Saccharomyces cerevisiae S288C: one gene and its partners. The gene in region 2 interacts genetically with the main gene of each other region. Each region holds a gene or a part of one and is shown on either strand. Other genes may lie near its edges. The genes, in order: UME6, COG8, MON2 and ARL3.

What was found.
Region 1: mutations in COG8 (region 2) and UME6 together harm fitness more than expected from each alone (negative genetic interaction), as found in Saccharomyces cerevisiae (5 studies listed by BioGRID, with this or other methods).
Region 3: mutations in COG8 (region 2) and MON2 together harm fitness more than expected from each alone (negative genetic interaction), as found in Saccharomyces cerevisiae (5 studies listed by BioGRID).
Region 4: mutations in COG8 (region 2) and ARL3 together harm fitness more than expected from each alone (negative genetic interaction), as found in Saccharomyces cerevisiae (7 studies listed by BioGRID, with this or other methods).

Annotation. Positions count from the first base shown.
Region 1 is NC_001136.10:864,453-869,164, forward strand, and holds UME6 (DNA-binding transcriptional regulator UME6), read right to left. Parts: upstream 3,071-4,712; coding exon 560-3,070; downstream 1-559. Other genes in the region: EBS1 (Ebs1p), read left to right, coding at 1-256; MSS4 (1-phosphatidylinositol-4-phosphate 5-kinase), read left to right, coding at 3,772-4,712. UniProt on the Saccharomyces cerevisiae protein: Component of the RPD3C(L) histone deacetylase complex (HDAC) responsible for the deacetylation of lysine residues on the N-terminal part of the core histones (H2A, H2B, H3 and H4).
Region 2 is NC_001145.3:129,211-133,536, forward strand, and holds COG8 (Golgi transport complex subunit COG8), read right to left. Parts: upstream 2,363-4,326; coding exon 539-2,362; downstream 1-538. Other genes in the region: TCB3 (Tcb3p), read right to left, coding at 1-157; DAK1 (dihydroxyacetone kinase), read left to right, coding at 4,265-4,326. UniProt on the Saccharomyces cerevisiae protein: Acts as a component of the peripheral membrane COG complex that is involved in intra-Golgi protein trafficking.
Region 3 is NC_001146.8:71,173-78,106, reverse strand, and holds MON2 (Mon2p), read left to right. Parts: upstream 1-1,523; coding exon 1,524-6,434; downstream 6,435-6,934. Other genes in the region: MRX6 (Mrx6p), read right to left, coding at 1-1,161; serine/threonine protein kinase CLA4, read right to left, coding at 6,664-6,934. UniProt on the Saccharomyces cerevisiae protein: Required for traffic between late Golgi and early endosomes. Required for endocytosis and maintenance of vacuolar structure.
Region 4 is NC_001148.4:458,021-461,065, forward strand, and holds ARL3 (Arf family GTPase ARL3), read left to right. Parts: upstream 1-1,942; coding exon 1,943-2,539; downstream 2,540-3,045. Other genes in the region: KTR6 (putative mannosyltransferase), read right to left, coding at 1-438; mannosyltransferase complex subunit MNN9, read right to left, coding at 2,759-3,045. UniProt on the Saccharomyces cerevisiae protein: Involved in the targeting of ARL1 to the Golgi. Can bind and hydrolyze GTP.

The DNA of each region.
Region 1 (4,712 bases), on a different chromosome or scaffold from region 2:
CTTTCCGCCTTATAATGCACAAAATTTACAATGGCAGAGCGAAGCTTACTCATTAAAGTCAATGAATTTTGCAAATCCAACGTGGCTAGGTGACCAGTACCAGACATCTGCGCCGTCGTCAGCATATGCGCAAGCGCAACGGCAAATGTTTCAACAACCTATGCAGCAAGATGTGGGGAAGTACATGCAATTTCCTTTTGACGCCCAAAGCAACACGGACAGCATGAGGGGAAACAGTCGGAATAATATGTTTTAATATTGTTCGTTTTTTATCATAGTTTTTCAAATCTTCATATGAATACTAGGTAGAAATTTGGCTTATCAGTACGAATGAATTACAGTTTGACTGATTTGTACACGAGAATTGACGTATAACTTCTTTTGAAAGTCTTTGAAATTACATGGTAGTACATACATATATATATATATATATATATGTTATATTATTGTTAATTAAATATTATTATGCGTATTTTCCTTTTCTTTATTAGTATAGTATTAATGACAGTAATAATAATAATAATAGTAACAATATCTCTTTTTTTTTTTCAGTGAGCTTTTATTTTTTTTTCATTGCTCTTCTTTTGGCCTCTTTTGTTTTTTTCTTGATTTCCTCCAGTTTCATCTGTTTTTTCTTTGGATCAGATACAAAATCTGGTTTGAACGCGTCATAGTGACAGTCCAATTTCAACCTTTCACAGTTGAAACAGTGCGGTCTTTCCTCGGTACACTTCTTTTTCCTTAATCTACAAATCCAGCAACCAGTACGGGACCTTGTACCTTGAGACGTTGAGGAAGTAGCATTATTCGATTCTTGAGAATTGTTTGCTTTTGATTTCGAAGTAGTATTATTTGGTCTTTTCTTTGATGACTGTTTCGCCTTTGATTTTGCCTTAGGCTTGACATTTTTTCCTTTAGATTTAGCGAAATCCGGCGAAGTAGCGTTAGGATAATCAGCGGTATATGCCAAGCCAGAAGAAGCCTTCAAAGATGGAGACGATGGAGCTGACGAAGTTGAGGATTCGCCAAGAGAATTATAATCGCTATTGGTTTGGCTTGCTACTCTTGCGTTTCCAACTGACCTTCTCGATTTTTTCAATGGTGGAACTTCCAGTTGCTGTTGTTGTTCTGGAGCAGAAAGGCGTCTGTCTATTCGCTTACCATTCTTATTCCAAGTAACTTGCCTTGTCCTTGACTCAAAAGTGGGATCTAAAACCTTTTTAGAGTTTAGATTTAAATGGTAAGGAGACAAGTCTTGATTTTGGTCCTGGTCTTCATCAAAAACAGCTGTAGAATTGTTGCTTTCGAAAATGGGTTGTTGTTCGGAATTATGGATACGTAACAGAATTGGTCTTAAGACACCCTTTGATGGAAAAGATGACGAATGAGGCCTACTAGCCGGCACACCGAGCGCATTTGTGTTATTCATGTCATTGACATTGGAAATGGGTTTATCATGAGTTCTATATGGGGATGATCTCATGTTTGATAGCACTGCTGCTGCTGTACCCAAGTCGTCGTCTAGTTTGGTAGATGAAGATGCAGAATTCGGACCGAGCAATAATCTTGATCTCAATCCATCCAATTTAGAATTGATGTATTTCGGTGGAGGTGGTGGGATGTATTGTTCATTTGTATGGAAGGGACTATTTCTATTGTTACGATTCGGCAAATCGCCGTAAAAAAACCCAGTAGAAGGTCTTGACGAAGTGGCAAACGGGTCTTCACCGCGATTGATATTGTTCCGTTGAGGGTTGTTGTTGTTTGTGCTTGTAAACGAAGATGCGGAAGTTGGAGGTTGAGAAGGTATTTGGTTGAACCTAAAATGCTGGAAATTGTTTCTGCTGGTAATGGAAGAGCTGGTGTTCGCATGTCGAGAGTTTGTAGGCGTATCCGTGTTTGAACTAGCATTGTTGGAGGATGATTCATTCAAAGAATAAGCCTCATCTCTGTATTTCGAATTTAGCCAGAACGATATGTTGATTTTTGATTCGTTCTCGTCCAGTTTTACATTTGGGTCTGTTATCTCTCTATCCTTGTTGAAATAGAAGTTCCTGGGCGCCACGCCCACGGCACATTGGTCATCATGCACATTATGCTGGACCTGAGAGTCGTTAGATGGACTGCCGCCGCGCTTAGTTCCGCCGCGCAAATACCCGCCAATCTCATTGTTATTAGAGGATTCTCTCGAATCTGAGCTTTGTATCGAATTATTGTCGTTGTTGTTGGTACTGTTGTTTCTGCTCAGTATCGACATAGGCGAATTGGTAGTCTTACCGTTGTTCTTGTTGGCGCTGGTAATGATGAGCGGCAAATCCGATCCTGTGCGGGAACGGATGCCCGAGCCCGTGCCCGCGCCCGAGCCTGCTGCGGTGGTACCGGGGGAAGAAACCGCTGGAGCTTGTGGTGGCGGCAAATGTATTTTTTTTTTGGCGCCGGCGACGATAGTAGTAGTGGCAGTGTTACTATTAGTGGAGGTGGAGGAGTAAGGGAAAACATCCTCGTTGGTTGCAGTATACTGCGGCTGAATAGCACCGGAAATTTGTGGGTCTGTAGCCTGTGCGACATGGCCATTGCACAATGACTTAGGATCCGAAGGTGTATTGGAAGGCGCGAGTGGGCTGGCGGCAGCATGCACAGCGTTATCGCTGTCACGGCGATCTTGAAGTGTAGTATTGGTCGTAGTAGTAGTATCGTTTTCCTTAGGATCGTCTTTGATATCTCCGCCACTTTGGACTTTCAAACTCGGCGAACCAGACGGAGTATGCACGGGAGTGTTGTTGGGCGCACATGTCGATTTCATAATAGAAAGCAAAGGGTTTTCATCGTAGGTTGTCTTGAGAGATTCGATGCTAGCACTGGAAATTGTAGGATGGCGGGAGTTAGCTCCATCACTAACTTCATCTTCTGCATGTTTTTTGCCGTCTTGGCTGCTATTCATCAGCGTGGCACGAGATGTTTTATTGTGCAAATAGTGATGATTGTTGGCGGTTGTTTCCATCGAAAGCAGAGAGGCAGCCGCATTAGATTCGTCCATGTGTTTGCTTTGAGAGCGCGCCTTGTCTAGCATCGTGAGTTAAGGTCCATGCAAATGGTTTGAGTGCGGTAGTGTCCTAGTTCCTGTGCGCTGTGCGAAGGTGGGCGCTTCTTACGATCACTGGTCTCTTGTCCTTGTCCTCTATGTTCTTTTCATTTTTCTTTTTGACGGCGGCAGTTTCCGCCTGGCATTGGTGAAAAGGCGCCTTGAAGCACGGCGGACGTGTCACCCGGACCGAAACAGAAGAGAAGTAGCGCAGTCTTGGCAATTATAGGATGCCCGAAATCCAACGTGCATTCTATTCTCGTGATTATTCTCGTGATTTCGTGTGCAACCAATGGACTTTAAAAACTGCGCTCTACTACTTGTAGCAATGCATGTTTTGGGCAAGTGGGGTTGAGTGGAGTGTCACCTCAGACGACGTGTCGCTTTTGTATATCCGTTTTTACGGACATAAGAACGTGCCGCCCATTCTGGGAAAACAAAACACAGGTTAAAAAAAAAAAGAAAGGAATGGATGGGGAATGGGACAGAGAGGAAAGATAGAGGTGGAAATAACAAAAGCGTGACAACAAAGAAGCAAATACGGAGGGACAAGCAAAGAAAAAACAAGGACAGAAACAAAAAATAGGAACAAGAAGTAGCACATTCATAAGCAAGAGAGTACGAAACCTGTTTACACCCCCCGAGACAGTTGCCCTATATCGCTTTTCCCTATCAATAGTTTCTAACTCATGTCAGTCTTGCGATCACAACCTCCTTCAGTTGTACCGCTACATCTGACAACATCCACCAGTCGCAAAACAGAACAGGAACCATCGCTATTGCACTCTGCAATAATTGAGCGACATCAAGACCGTTCGGTGCCGAATTCGAATTCGAATCCGGATTCGAACCATCGAATAAAAAAGGATCGCAATAATCACACTAGCTACCATTCTTCATCGAATTCGGAGTCAAACATGGAAAGTCCTCGCTTGTCAGATGGTGAGTCTTCCACTCCGACCTCTATTGAAGAGTTAAACCCAACAATAAATAATTCGAGGCTGGTGAAGAGAAACTACTCAATATCAATTGATCCTTTGCATGACAACAGCAATAATAATACGGATGATGATCATCCAAACACCATAACTTCTCCCCGACCAAATAGCACTAGTAACAAGGAAATGCAGAAATATAGTTTTCCCGAAGGTAAGGAGTCGAAGAAAATAACAACACCCTCGTTAAACTCGAATAATTGTTTGGATTTGGACAATTCCAGTCTTGTTCACACAGATTCGTATATACAAGACTTAAATGACGATCATATTTTACTAAACAAGCGCGTTTCGAGGCGATCTTCCAGAATATCGGCAGTAACAGCAACTTCCACGACAATTAAGCAAAGAAGAAATACTCAGGATTCAAACCTGCCCAATATTCCCTTTCACGCTTCCAAGCATTCTCAAATTCTACCTATGGATGATTCAGATGTAATAAAATTGGCCAATGGAGATACCAGCATGAAACCAAATTCTGCTACTAAAATTAGTCACTCAATGACTTCTTTGCCTCTTCACCCACTTCCACAACCTTCTCAAAAGTCAAAGCAATATCATATGATATCCAAATCAACCACTTCTTTGCCGCCAGAGAATGACCACTACTATCAACACAGTCGTGGCACCAACCA
Region 2 (4,326 bases):
GGTGGTATTGATGGTGACCCGATGGAGCGTGATCAGAACCCCTTTCTTGTTGATTTATGACCTTTTGAGGTAAATTGCCTCCTACTTTCTTCTTCTCCTCCTCATGAAATAGGGTACTATCAGGTGGGGGATGGACTTGAGCTTTGATGCCAGTCATTTTTCTTGACTTTCAATGCGTAGCTCTACTTATTTTCTTTCTAGCAATATTGCGTATGTCAATAAACAAAGCTAGCTAATGATGCTCTTTATATTGTTAAGAAGAAAACTGATTAAATTAAGTAACGCTAAAAAGCAAAGTTGTCTATCAAAGTGAAATGTATCGCAATTGGAAAAGGTAAGTGCAATTCTAAAGGATGTAAGGTACAATTATCCCTTTTTCCCTTTCTGACTGCAGCAGTGTGTTGTAAAGGTATACATACATTCTCGTATTGTTGTTTCTCCCCCTTCTCGCGCTGGCGAAGAAGTGAAAAAAAAAAATAAAAAAATGGAAATTTCGGACGATCGTCATTTTGAAAATACATAGTGAGCCAATATTATACTAGGAGTATATATATTTAGAGGCCAGTTCTGCTCTCTTGTCAATTGCCCGGGCGAGCTGCTCGGTCGTAAACAAGCTAGTGTCATTGATTTTTTTTAGGAAGAGGTGGTGGTAGTTTCGATTCAGGTCGCAAAGACGGAATGAACAGTACACCAACTGCAGGCAAACGGAGTCACTCAGCTTGATGCTATTTAACCCACGAGTGAGGTCTTTTAATACGTATGTTATGCACTTATCAACGAATTGCAACATGACTGCATTTGTAGGTATTTTGTTTTCCCTTTTTGAAGTCCGAATCTTTTTGCTTGGCTCCTCTGGGGTCACTTCAACCTTATTAATTTCTTCTTCTTCTTTTTCTGCCTTGTTATCTATGCTTTTGCTTGGCTCTTCTGGGGTCACCTCAACCTTATTAATTTCTTCTTCCTCTTTTTCTGCCTTGTTATCTTTGGTATTTACTTCTTCCTCTTTTTCTTTTTCAGCCTTGTCTTCTGTTTTGTTTACTGTTTCATTTTCTATCTCATTTTCTGTTTTCCTTTCTGCTCCATCATCTTCGCCTTCCACTTTGCCTTGTACTTCCTCTTGTACATCTTCTATCGATTTATTTTCTGTCACATCTTCTTCATTGTTCGCTACGCTATCTTGTTTTTGATATTCTTCCTTCTTTGTTTCTTTCTCCTTTTCTTCAATTTCTTTCTCTTCGTTAGTCCCATTTATCCTTAGCACAGTACTTTCTAGTTCCTCTGGGAAAGGAATCTCTAAGTCATTTGTATCATACAAGAAGCTTTTCAGAAAGACATTCAAGGACATGTAGACATGTTCCCTGAGGACTTCAATTTTCCTCTTAACCATCATTTCAATTAAAGATTCATTAGAAGACTCAACGTCCAAAGGATATGATGCTATTTCATCGGTAATGAATTTGTATCTCATGGCTAAAAACACACTTAATAATGATTTATTAGTCTTTCCATCAAATGGTGGAATTGAATTCAAGTACTGTAGTATTTTCTTTAGTGAGTTTACTGATACATTAGTAGACAGTAATTTTACCAGCCCGGATAACATGGTAGTACTAATTTCGTTTAAAACTTTTTCGCAAACTTCATCCACAATGGTTGAACCAGGGAATCTTGACCTCAGGGAAGTAGTGTGTGTGTATAGCATGACGGCCTCCTGGTAATGACCTGTTCTGATACATGTGCGGGCCAAAAATGGTAGTTCCATCAAATCCGTAATGCTATCCAAATTTTCTAGTACAGTGACTAATGTGTCAGATCTAATGTCGTCCTTGTCATCTTCTTTAGTTGAAATTCTGTTTCTTAACCTACTTAATGCCTTGTGAAACTCATCCTCCTTCTTCTTTCTTGCCAGATTGTTACTCTCAGTCGTCATGATGCGACCTGTGTCGTTGTCTTCTTTATCGTCTTCCAAAAAGTCATCAATAGAAACGCTTTCATTGTTTATATCGTCATTTGTAACGTTTCGATCGGCTGCCTTATTAATATTAGTATCCAATTCCCATAATTGCTCCAAAGACTTGGCTATATCATCCAATTGAGCCCTATCATCGTTTTCAAGAATATTTCCGATAATCTGAGACGTATTATCTAGTAGTGTTTTCCTTATCTTTCTATCAAGGGCAGATAATTCAGCATCAATTTCTGCTATGTCTTCAGTTATGCTACCAGGAACAGCCCTAGATGAAAAATAACTTTCATAGTCTTTCGTGTTAGATTGTAGGATATCCTGTAGGAAATCAAGACTTAACCGTTTTTGTTCCTCTGTTAAATCATCAGAAATGAGGCTGTTTAGTATCAGCTCCATTTTACTCAATGATTATGTTTATTGTTGAAATATGTTCCCTCAAATGTCCTAACACTTCTATGATTATTTTTTCTGTGCTTCTCTTTTCAGTATGTTACTACGCTATATTTTTAGACATTGAAGCCATGATCGCGAGATCGATCTAATGTACGTATAAAAAGAAAATGGACTTCAAGAGTACAACTAACTAAAGGAAAATCCAACTCTTCCTATAAATTTAGAATTAGCATATTCAAAAAAGAAGAAACAAAGCACTCACGATGGGGGTCGAACCCATAATCTTCTGATTAGAAGTCAGACGCGTTGCCATTACGCCACGCGAGCTAAATTTCTTGAATTGTTGGGTAAACAAATATTACTAATACAAATGTTATTAGAAACCAAAAATGCACTTTTCCGGGGTTAATATATATGATTGAGTGATGGATGAAGAATGAGATAATTGTTTAAATTCTATAGTTGTCAAGCGCTGTGATACCAGATACACAAAATGTACTAGAGGTTCTCCTCGAGAATATGAAAATCCACAATAGAGAACCGATATTTCTGTGTAGGAATATTATTATTTCTTCTTTCATTTTGTATGTTCTCGTTCATTTTCCTAGCACATTATCAACCCTTTCATTTCAATTTCCATTAAAATTGGTGACTGTTTCTCAATATTTATTTGACCGTCTTATACCCAATATGGTAATATACCAGTAATATAAATACTAGTCGTTAGATGATAGTTGCTTCTTATTCCGAAAATGAGTATGGAAGTGTTGCATATGATAGGGCGGCTACAGTGATGGTAAACATAAGATACTTTAGCGGGAAATTAGCAACTGGAAGTTAAATTATCTAGACATAAGTGTGGCGGTCACGCTGAACGCAGGAGATCGGATAGATTGATAAGCTGATCAAGAACATTGATCGGTTTGTTGTTTAAAGAATGGTTTTTGAAAACGTTTGACCAGTTGCTTCTCCCAGACGCTTACCGATATGATGATAAAGATAATATCTTCAATTGAATACCCCGTGGATCAGCACGAATAACAGAAAAAAAGGGTGAAATTCACCGTAAGCATGATACGCACTACGTTCTTCTTACCTTTGCCAACGTGTTGTCTTTGACGTACGTAATTATGGGAGATCGTTGATGATTAGCCCCAGCTCACTTTCTTCTTAATGACTGACCCGCTACTATCAAAATTAAGGTGTCAAATATCATGATGAATGAGGTCTCTAGGCGACTCAATTATACATCTTTTAGAGATTTTTTTACTACTTGCAGATAATTTCTCAAGGGATTAGATTCAAATCTGGCTTGTCAATTACGCCCTTTTCAAGCTCATCAAATTGCGTATGTCATTCATGCTTCCATTAGGAACCATAGAAGCATGGCTGAAATGGCAATATACGGCTTCCCAATTTCAACTCTAAAGTAATGGCGGTCGAATTTAATCTATATTTTACAGTTTTATACGTACTTTAAAAGCAATCAGTAAACACCTCTGGTGCTATTCAAGGGTTTTTTGCCTTTATTTGTTACTGTCAATTGTCTGGCGCTGTGATAAAAAACAAGGCATAAAGCTCCCCCGTCATGAACATTAAGACTCGCTAGACGAGAGAGTGAAATATAATGCATTTCCTGATTTAAATGCGCTACAAACATGGTGTAAATCTGGCCCGGAGTGAGTGCTTGCCAATTTGGCTTCTAAGGGAGAAAGATCAAACCACTCCCAATTGCGTCATTTTGAAAGAGTGGCCACCTCGCGAGCGTCTGTCGAACTAACTGATGAATAAATATATAAGGAGAAAATCACTTCAACTTCGCTACAAGTAGTCACTATTTGTAGCAACTGTAAACGAACACATCAAAGAATAAGATTACATTCTATATCTAAGACTAAATTTTAAATGTCCGCTAAATCGTTTGAAGTCACAGATCCAGTCAATTCAAGTCTCAAAGGGTTTGCCCT
Region 3 (6,934 bases), on a different chromosome or scaffold from region 2:
AAACAGTTTCTTTGTGCCCTTTGATTTGCTCACATAAACGGCCAGGGGCAAGTGTTCTCTCTTGAACTCATTATGTATGGATAGCTTTGTCAATTTTTTGAATTCTCTAGCAAGTATCTTATTTAACTTAGTTAGTTCATTGCGGAACAGTTCCTGATCATTTTTGATAAATGTGTGTTTGTATGCATAATTTTTCTGTTTATGTTCAAAGTCGCTTCTTGCTTTTAACATTTTCTGTCTTTTACTTGTATTTGCACTTGAATATCCAGATTCTTGAAGGGGTTTTGTATTGTAAAGTGACTCGTGCAAACGGGATTTATTATGGTATAAATTCACTAACTCTGGGGTGTCATTGATTCTTCGATTGTGAAACTGAAGTTTTATCATAGTAGGCTTTCTTGCATTCTTCGCTTGACTTTTTCTCTCAATACGCAAAAGTTTAAATGGCTTCATTTTCAGAATAATATTTTTGGGCACATATTTGAAAGGCATGTCATTATAAACCATGCCACTTATAGATGCGTCCCACGGTATTACGGGTTTACGTTTGTGCGAAGATGGTAACTGTTCCATACTATGAATGCTTTCTCTCAAACTTGTTCTTTGTAAGTCCTCAATAATCTCCTGCACATTGAGTTTGCCATCTTTCTCGGAAGCGTCCACTACCTGTATATTGGGAAGAACGTCGTCTAACTCATGAAAGTTTTTACCCTTTCTTGCATCAGACGGAAAACCTGAGTTCCCCAGAAACAAGGGTCGATAGCCGGCAAACAGGCCCTCCGTGTGAACCTCTTTATTCGAAATATAGTCTGTAGACGCAACTCTAGGAACCAATAAATGCAAATTAGAACCAGATATCTTCGATCTGCTGTTATATGCGAGGTCTGTGGGCTGCTTTCCCTGCTGCGCTAGCGACTCAGCATGCGAATCTCCCTCTTTAATAACTGTTTCACCATCATATGCTCGTTTCATCTTCGACGGTACCCTCCCCAAATCTTTGGAAGAATCCTTTTCTTCATTGCAATCACCTTTCTCATCTCTCCCTCCACCCTTGCCTGACATATGTCTACAGCTCACTCTAGTCATATTTTGCCTAAGAGCACCACGTCGGATGAAATTGGGGCAGTACAGTACAAGCCTTCGAAGTGCTTGGTGTTCCATGACGTAACGTACGACTAAATCTCACTACTTCTGCAATGATCTAATGATACGGTCTGCTTTCACCAAAAATTGAGCACACTAAAGGGGTATACCAATATTGTCCTAGCAGCTAACAAATACTCTCTTCAGATCGAGTTGCAGACTTCCTCAAACCTCCTGCTCTTATTCTTCATAAAGTCATTGCGAAGTCTTCATTATCCCACTTTCTGATAAAGCCGGCTGGTCGTCGTGGATGACCTTTAAATCGTCCGTGTTAATAATTAAGGTGACCTAAGCCCAGCTAAATAAAGCCTGTAGACTGTATGCAATACAAGTGATTTTCAAAGAAAGTAAACCAACTTGACCTGTTACACACCATTCATATGGCCATGAACACTGGAGGGTTTGACTCCATGCAAAGGCAACTTGAAGCAGAATTGCGTTCTTTATCTTCCGAATCGAAAAGAAGAAATTCAACCATTCGCCATGCTAGTGATAAATCCATTGAGATATTGAAAAGAGTACATAGTTTTGAGGAGCTAGAAAGACATCCGGATTTCGCACTCCCTTTCGTGTTGGCTTGCCAATCAAGGAATGCTAAAATGACGACCCTGGCAATGCAATGCCTACAGGGACTGTCAACCGTTCCATCTATTCCTCGAAGCCGGCTGTCTGAAATTTTGGATGCCTTCATTGAGGCTACTCATCTCGCGATGGAGATTCAATTAAAAGTTTTACAGGTGGTACCCATTTTTTTTAAGACATACGGGAAGTTCATCTATGGGCCGCTTTGTAAGAAGTTGTTGCTGTGTTGCTCAAATCTGCTGCATGTACCTAATAAGGCACCCGTAGTAGTTGGTACTGCGAGTGCCACTTTACAGCAGCTTATCGATGAAATATTTGATAGGCTTTCCATTGAATCTGTAGTGGATGATAAACAATATGAAGTCCTCATAAGTAATAGTGAGTCAATTAAGGTCAATGTTTATAGATACGATGCTAACAAATTGTTCGATAATATCTGTTCATTAAATGAAATAAGCTCAAATGGGGCAGTTAGTGACGAGGAGATGCTGTTAGACATTGGGGACATCCCAATAGACTATGGCCTGGAAATCCTTGAATCGATTTTGAAGAATAGTCAGAAAAATCTTTTAGAATGCCAAGATTTACAATATCTACTGAGAGTTAAGGCGATTCCATTGCTTCTACGTTGCATATCTTCTTCGAGACACTTCTCCACCGCTGTAAGGAGTTGTCGTTGTTTGAAGTTGTTGATAAGAAAAGAGTACCTAAGCATACTCGAGTTAGAATTAGAGGTCATCTTGTCGCTGTTAATCCATGGCATATCTGTCGAATCCAATTTAAGTGGATGGCAAAGAGTACTATCTCTAGAACTTTTCAAGGATTTATCACAAGACCCCGAAATCGTCAATACACTCTATATGGACTATGATAATTATCCAGATAAAAAACATGTGTTCAAATATCTTTTGAAAGAATGTATTGTCTTATTAAATTCGCCAGAGTATATTACTTTCTTGGCGCCATCAAAAGTAGTCGAGAAAATGGATTCTCCCTTGATAACTACTGAAAACTCTACAGTTAAAACAAAGTTTATGCATTTATTGGACAAATCAAACGCTCCGTCCATTAATATTACTTACATTATATCATTAATTCTGACCATCTGTAACCACTTATGCGAGGGGTTGAACAAATCGGCTCTGGAAAGCTCTCCCCTAGAGAAGAAAATTGAGGACAAAGAACGTGAAGAGGGAACTGGAAATGATTCGACAGTTGTAAAGGTTTATAGCGGCCTGTTTTCTGGCCTATTTGAGCTAAACAAACTCTTTTTATATTCGACCTCCTTAGAGACATCGATATTCCACTTGGTGGTTAGAGCTTTTCAAAAATTAGCTCATAGTGCCGGCGTTCTGTCACTAAAGGACAAATTAAGGGCATGCATGAAATTGTTTTCGATTTTGATAACAAACAACGTTACATCATCCAATCAATATTCTTTTAATGATACAAGTAAGTCAGCAAAAAATCAACATACAAGAAATATATCCACATCTAGTGTCACGACCAGTCCCGTAGAATCAACAAAAAATCCAAGTAGGTCGATTGCAGATTCTGCGCAAAATAAGGAAATGAAAAGGCGTTTGCACCCCAGGAATATTAGTTCAAGACAAGTTAGTTTACTAAGGGCATTAATATCATTATCAATATCACTAGGTCCTATTTTCGATTCAGAAAGCTGGAGGTACACTTTTTTAACCTGGCAATGGATAACTTACTACATATATGGTCCATCAGCAGATTTCAAAGAGAGCTTTTACTCTGAAGATATTCCACCACCTCCAATACTGACTAAATCAGACGTTACATCTATTGAAAGCTCTCTAACGAAATTTTTTGAAAGTACAAGCAGCTATTCTTGCTCAACTTTTCATTTGGTATTAACCAGATTAATTTTGGACTCAAAAAATACCCTCACTTTAGAACAAACGAACCTCAACCTGAATAATGACATTGGCTATCATCCTTTAGATGCAAAAGATGAAATTATACCATGCATTTACAACAAGGCGTTTTTTGTTAACAAAATTGGTGAACTGGCAACTTATAATTGCAAAAAATTTCTCTTTGGAAAAAATGGTAAAGAACTTTGGAGTTTGATTTCCACCTATATGATCAAATTGATATCAAACCGTGAAATGGATAACGATTCTTTACGTTTATACACAGTGAGAGTGTTTACAGATATCATCAAAAAGGCTACTAATGAGGTTGGTAATTCCGATGAGCAAGATAATAAAGTGAAACAGTTTGGTACATTGGAAAACTTAGTCATCGATAGCTTGATGGCAACGATAAACTCGATAAAACAGTTGGATATTGGTAAGCAGGAAATATACAATGGGACGATCAATGTTGAATCAGATATTCTTTTTCAATTGCTACTAACTTTAAAAGAGATTCTGAACGAATTTGGTGAACTGTTAATGAACTCTTGGACCAATATTTTCAACATCATTAATTCACCATTCGAGTGGACAGTTGAGGATACTGATTTTTCCGTGAATGAGGATATAGATGATTCATCTTTATTTGAAGGTATCGTTCAGAAGCATAAGAACATGATCCAAGTGTCATACGATGTTTTTAAACTAATTTCTGATGATTTCTTACAGAGTTTACCTATGAGTGTCATTAAATTCGTTATTGATACGCTTGTCAATTTCGTAAGTCAGAAGCGAAATCTTAATATCTCCTTTTCTTCTATTAGTCAGTTCTGGTTAGTTGGAGATTATCTCAGAGTCCGCTTCAATCCCGAAACATTAAATTTAAGTGATGAGAAACGTAGAAGTCTCTCCGAAAAGATTAATAATCAAAAATTAATTGAAATCATTACATCCAGTTCATCTCATGATTGGGAACTTTACAACGGATTATGGATATATCTTTTGAAAAATTTGATCAATTGTACTAATGATGATAGAGTAGAAGTTAAAAACGGTGCTGTGCAGACTTTTTTCAGAATCATCGACTCCCATTCTGTTTGCTTCCCCCCATGGGACCTAATTTTCTTAGAGGTTATTGAACCACTGCTTACCAAGGAATGGTCCACTGAAGAACTCGAAAATGAAACTGATTTTATAAATGTAACATTGCAAGGATTAATTAAGCTTTATCCGGAACACTTTAAGGACTTCAAAAACAACACTACCTGCGCCAAGGAATGGTCAATGTTATTAGATTTTTTGAAAAGATTGTTGTCTTCCACTTCTAATAATACCAAGAATGCTGTAATATTAAATTATCAAACCCTGCTGAAAGAAATCATCACTATTGAGGACGTTCCATCAGATATATTGAAAAAGTGCTGCGAAATATTTACCGACTACAATATTACGTACAGTGATCTCTCCACAAACGCATCGAGCAAAACTGAATACGATTGTATATACGAACTAATAACCGGATTTCCTCCTCTTTACCAATTAATATCGAAATACGATGCGATGACAGATGAATTTGTGGAAAAAGTTCTTCTTTTATTCAATTCTGCCATAAAATATCCTCTCTTACCTGAGTTTGTCCAAGACAAAACTAAACCGTCCTCTATGCAAAAGGCCATATTGTCTGGACTTGATATATTTATGACAAATGATTCTAAAGATACAGAAATTTTGATTCTTCTCCAGTTAAGTACAATATCGATATTGGCTTTTGATACAAGGGAAAAAATAACAAAAAAACTTGGACCAAAGCTTCCAAAAGCATCACTTAACAGGTTACCAACTTTTGAGGCAATCAGCTATATGTCATGTTCTAACCTGAGAAATAGAATAGCAAAAATAGATCAATTTGGTATATCCACACTGAAAGCAAAGCATATTTTAAGAATATTGAAAAATTTGGCTGAAATCATCAAGCGAAAATCGCTTATTACAGGGTCAGAGAGTGATGAAATCCCCATATGGGTTCTTGCTTCCAATTGCTTCTGTGATTTGTCGAACAAAATTTTCAAATCACTCCAAGAAGATGCAGAAAATCCATTAAAGGATAACTTTTGTGATTTATTTATAAATGTTATTGTTGTCACATTACAAAGAATCAACCCAGAGCTCGATAATTTAACCGAGATAGACGATTTGAATGAGTATTCCAAATATAGGGAGATATTGCTGGAAAACAGAATCATTGATCTCTTCAATGAAAGGCAATTAGACACTTTCATTTATGCCGTCTGGGATTGTTCATTTTTATATGAATTCGATGAATTAGAAAATGCTTTGATGCAAGACTGTGGTACGTTTTCTGAATTGTCTCAAAAACTATCTTCGTTCGATTTTTCATGTATATTTGGATCCACCACAAATCCTCGCTTTCAGACAAAATATAAGTGCTCTTTAGAGTGCTTGCAAGATTTGGTTAATTTTATGTTGAACACAAACGAGAAATTAAGAAAGTTAACTGCTCCTTATCTTTCTGCAAGAATTGCCCTTGCTCTTAGAAGATATATCTCAGATGAATACTTGATTGGGCGAGCACCAATACCAAAATTGCGTAAAACAGAACTAGCTACTCTATTAAATGGGCTATGCGTGATTTTAAGAGGTGTTCTAGATCAAAATTCGACCCTTGGCAACAAACAAATTGGAGTTGAAAACCTACAAACATTAAGTCCGTTGATTTTAAGAACCATCCCAGTATCTCATAAAATGGATGGCCTCCAAGATAAAGTTTTGGAATTATCACTTGGATTTACGAAACTAGACTAGAAGCTGAAGCATGGACGAATATTTTTAAAAATCACGTAGGATAAATAGTAATATTAAACGACATTGGATTGATTATTGTATCGTTGCAGGTCTTTTTTTATTTACTTTAAAAAAAAAACTTTTAAGGTGAACGTATTTATATATTATGCCATTGGTATGCATAGCTAAAAGAAAAGAAATACATAAGATTGTAGTATGTATGATATGCTTATAGAAATAGTTGTGTGCTTCATTCCTTCCACTCCAACAGTGATGTCAAATCCTTTGGATCACATGCCATATTGAAAAAACCGTGGTGTAAAAGCTCTTCGGTTGATGCCCTATATCTAACATCTACGCAAAGGCAAACGCTTAGAAAGCGTTTAATTTCTAAAGACAAACTTTCTGGATGCTTGAGCTTTGGTGTACCATTAGTTGCAATTAAGTACAACGCCTTTAGTGGATCTTCATTTAAATATGGTGGTTCACCCTCCAGCATTTCAATGGTCATGATACCCAAA
Region 4 (3,045 bases), on a different chromosome or scaffold from region 2:
GTTAAACTTCACCTGCACTTCATCAATAGATTGTAAGATTTGGGTCATGGAATCCCTTTCAGTAATTAGTGAGACAAAGCACGCCTTTGGTGGTGATCCTCTATGATTGATATACGATGGCACCATGAACCCTAGCGTCGTTTCATTACCACCATAAGATTTGATCTTTTCCTTAATGGCATTCACGGTGGCATTTCTAATGGCCTCTCCCTCTAAAGATTGCTTCAATTCGGCTTCTTCCTGTTCACTTTGTATACGCCTTTGTTCCTCTGCACTAATTTTTGCAATAGGTTGCAAAGATTTCGGAAGGTATGGTGTAACATACTGTTCAGACATCTGCTTTGTTTTTGGATGATTTATTGTCACCATTAGCGCAAGCACGAAAACAAACGAAATCAACAGAAAGCGTGCTATTTTTTTGCTCAGCAGTACGTGCATCTTACCTTATCTTATCTTCACTAAAGGGCACAAAAGGTTGGGTGAACGCTTAGTATCCCTCTAGTCTTGTATACTCGTACACATTATAAGTACATTTAACAAATCTCATCCACATTTCTCGAATAAATATCACATGTAACTTGAAGGTTATTTTTATATTTTTTTTTCCTGTGAAGGAACAACTCGTGTCTCACGAGAGCGCCACTTAAAAAACGAAAAGATAATCGGCGATGACTATATATGTATGTGATTGAGAATAAAAATATGGAAAGATAAAAGACCTAGTAACGTTGTATTTCAATAGTGAGGATAACATAAAGAAGTAAAAAGATCTTTGAAAATGTATGAAGTAATACAGAAAAGGAAAACAAAAATAATAAACGTTTTACAGAGTCCTGAACTCATGAGGCTCATAGAGGACCCATCAAATCTGGGTATTTCTTTACATTTTCCAGTAAGTTCACTGCTAAAAAGTAATAAGTGCACACCAATGCCTAAACTTTCTACGTATAGTTTGGCTAGTGGGGGATTTAAGGATTGGTGCGCGTGACATCCCTCTAGACGTTCCACCAGAGATTGATATCATCGATTTTTACTGGGATGTTATTTTATGCATGGAATCTCAATTCATATTAGATTACAATGTTCCGTCAAAAAATAAGGGGAACAATCAGAAGTCTGTTGCTAAGCTGTTGAAAAATAAGCTTGTAAACGATATGAAAACTACGTTAAAAAGACTAATTTATAATGAAAATACCAAGCAATATAAAAATAATAATAGCCACGATGGTTACAATTGGAGAAAACTAGGCTCGCAGTATTTCATACTGTATCTTCCCCTATTTACGCAGGAACTGATTTGGTGTAAACTTAATGAAAACTATTTCCATGTTGTATTACCATCTTTACTGAATAGTAGGAACGTTCATGATAACCACAGTACCTATATAAATAAAGATTGGTTACTTGCCCTTTTAGAGCTAACTTCCAACCTGAACCAAAACTTCAAATTCGAATACATGAAATTGAGATTGTATATTTTAAGAGATGATTTAATTAATAATGGTTTGGATCTTTTGAAAAATCTTAACTGGGTCGGTGGGAAACTGATTAAAAATGAAGATAGAGAAGTCTTGTTGAACTCGACCGATTTAGCTACGGATTCTATTTCTCATTTATTAGGTGATGAAAACTTTGTTATTTTAGAGTTTGAATGCTAAGCAGTTATATTCAGTTAGAAGCATATATCCCACCATTAAATAAGTTAACATACTACTGCATTTTTATTTTATGTTTAAGAGCAGATACGTCAATGTAGCTTGCATATGTACGTATCCTCCCCCACCTCCTATTTTCTACTTTGAACTTTATGGGAGTGTTAGTATAAGAAATATGTTTACACCTTTTTCAGACAAATGTAAACGGAAAATTAAAAAACGAATTCAGATCGATGTGTTAATCAAGTAGATGAAGGAGAATAAAGCATATAAAGCGCACCGCACACATGTTTCATTTAGTCAAGGGACTTTACAATAATTGGAATAAAAAGGAACAATATTCAATTCTAATATTAGGTCTAGACAATGCAGGCAAAACGACGTTCTTGGAGACATTGAAAAAGGAATACTCTCTGGCGTTCAAAGCCTTGGAAAAGATACAGCCTACGGTAGGACAAAATGTGGCGACAATACCCGTTGACAGTAAACAGATCTTGAAGTTTTGGGATGTAGGTGGTCAAGAATCACTGAGATCAATGTGGTCCGAATACTATTCCCTATGTCATGGTATAATTTTCATTGTGGATAGTTCAGATAGAGAACGATTAGACGAATGTTCCACGACCCTACAGTCAGTTGTAATGGATGAAGAAATTGAAGGTGTACCCATCTTGATGCTGGCCAATAAACAAGATAGACAAGATAGAATGGAAGTACAAGATATAAAAGAAGTATTTAATAAGATTGCGGAACATATAAGCGCTAGAGATAGTAGGGTTTTACCAATAAGCGCATTGACTGGAGAAGGTGTTAAAGACGCTATAGAATGGATGATTGTTAGACTAGAAAGGAATAAAAAGTCAAGACCACCGATTTATAAATGATAAAGAAGCACCAAAAGAAATAAAATGTGAATGGTTTATTCTCAAGCTCAGAAATTAGTTGTTGTAGCACTTTTTATTCGGCATTTTTTAATATACATGTGTAAATTATATATATATATATATGAATATATATCTTGTTTTGTTTATTTTCAACTAATAATCGCAACAATATTATCTTTCAATAACGCTATAGCTTCTGTATGCTTTTTGCTCAGTTGCTCAATGGTTCTCTTCCTCTATGTGATAAACCAAATAGTTTGGTAAGCCAAATACATCGTAGTTTAATCTCTTCGCCATCTTAGCAAAACCTTCTGTTTCAATCAAGTGATAAAATGGGAAATTAGGGAACATGGCACCGTCTCTGTGAACTTCTGCTTTGACCAAAGTACAGCCTCCACCAACACCATCCAGCGCCATCTCTTCACCTGGTACGCCATTAGCATCGTAGAAATGAGCCATTAATGGCCTATAAGTGGCAATTTCTGCATAACCCTCGACAATAATCT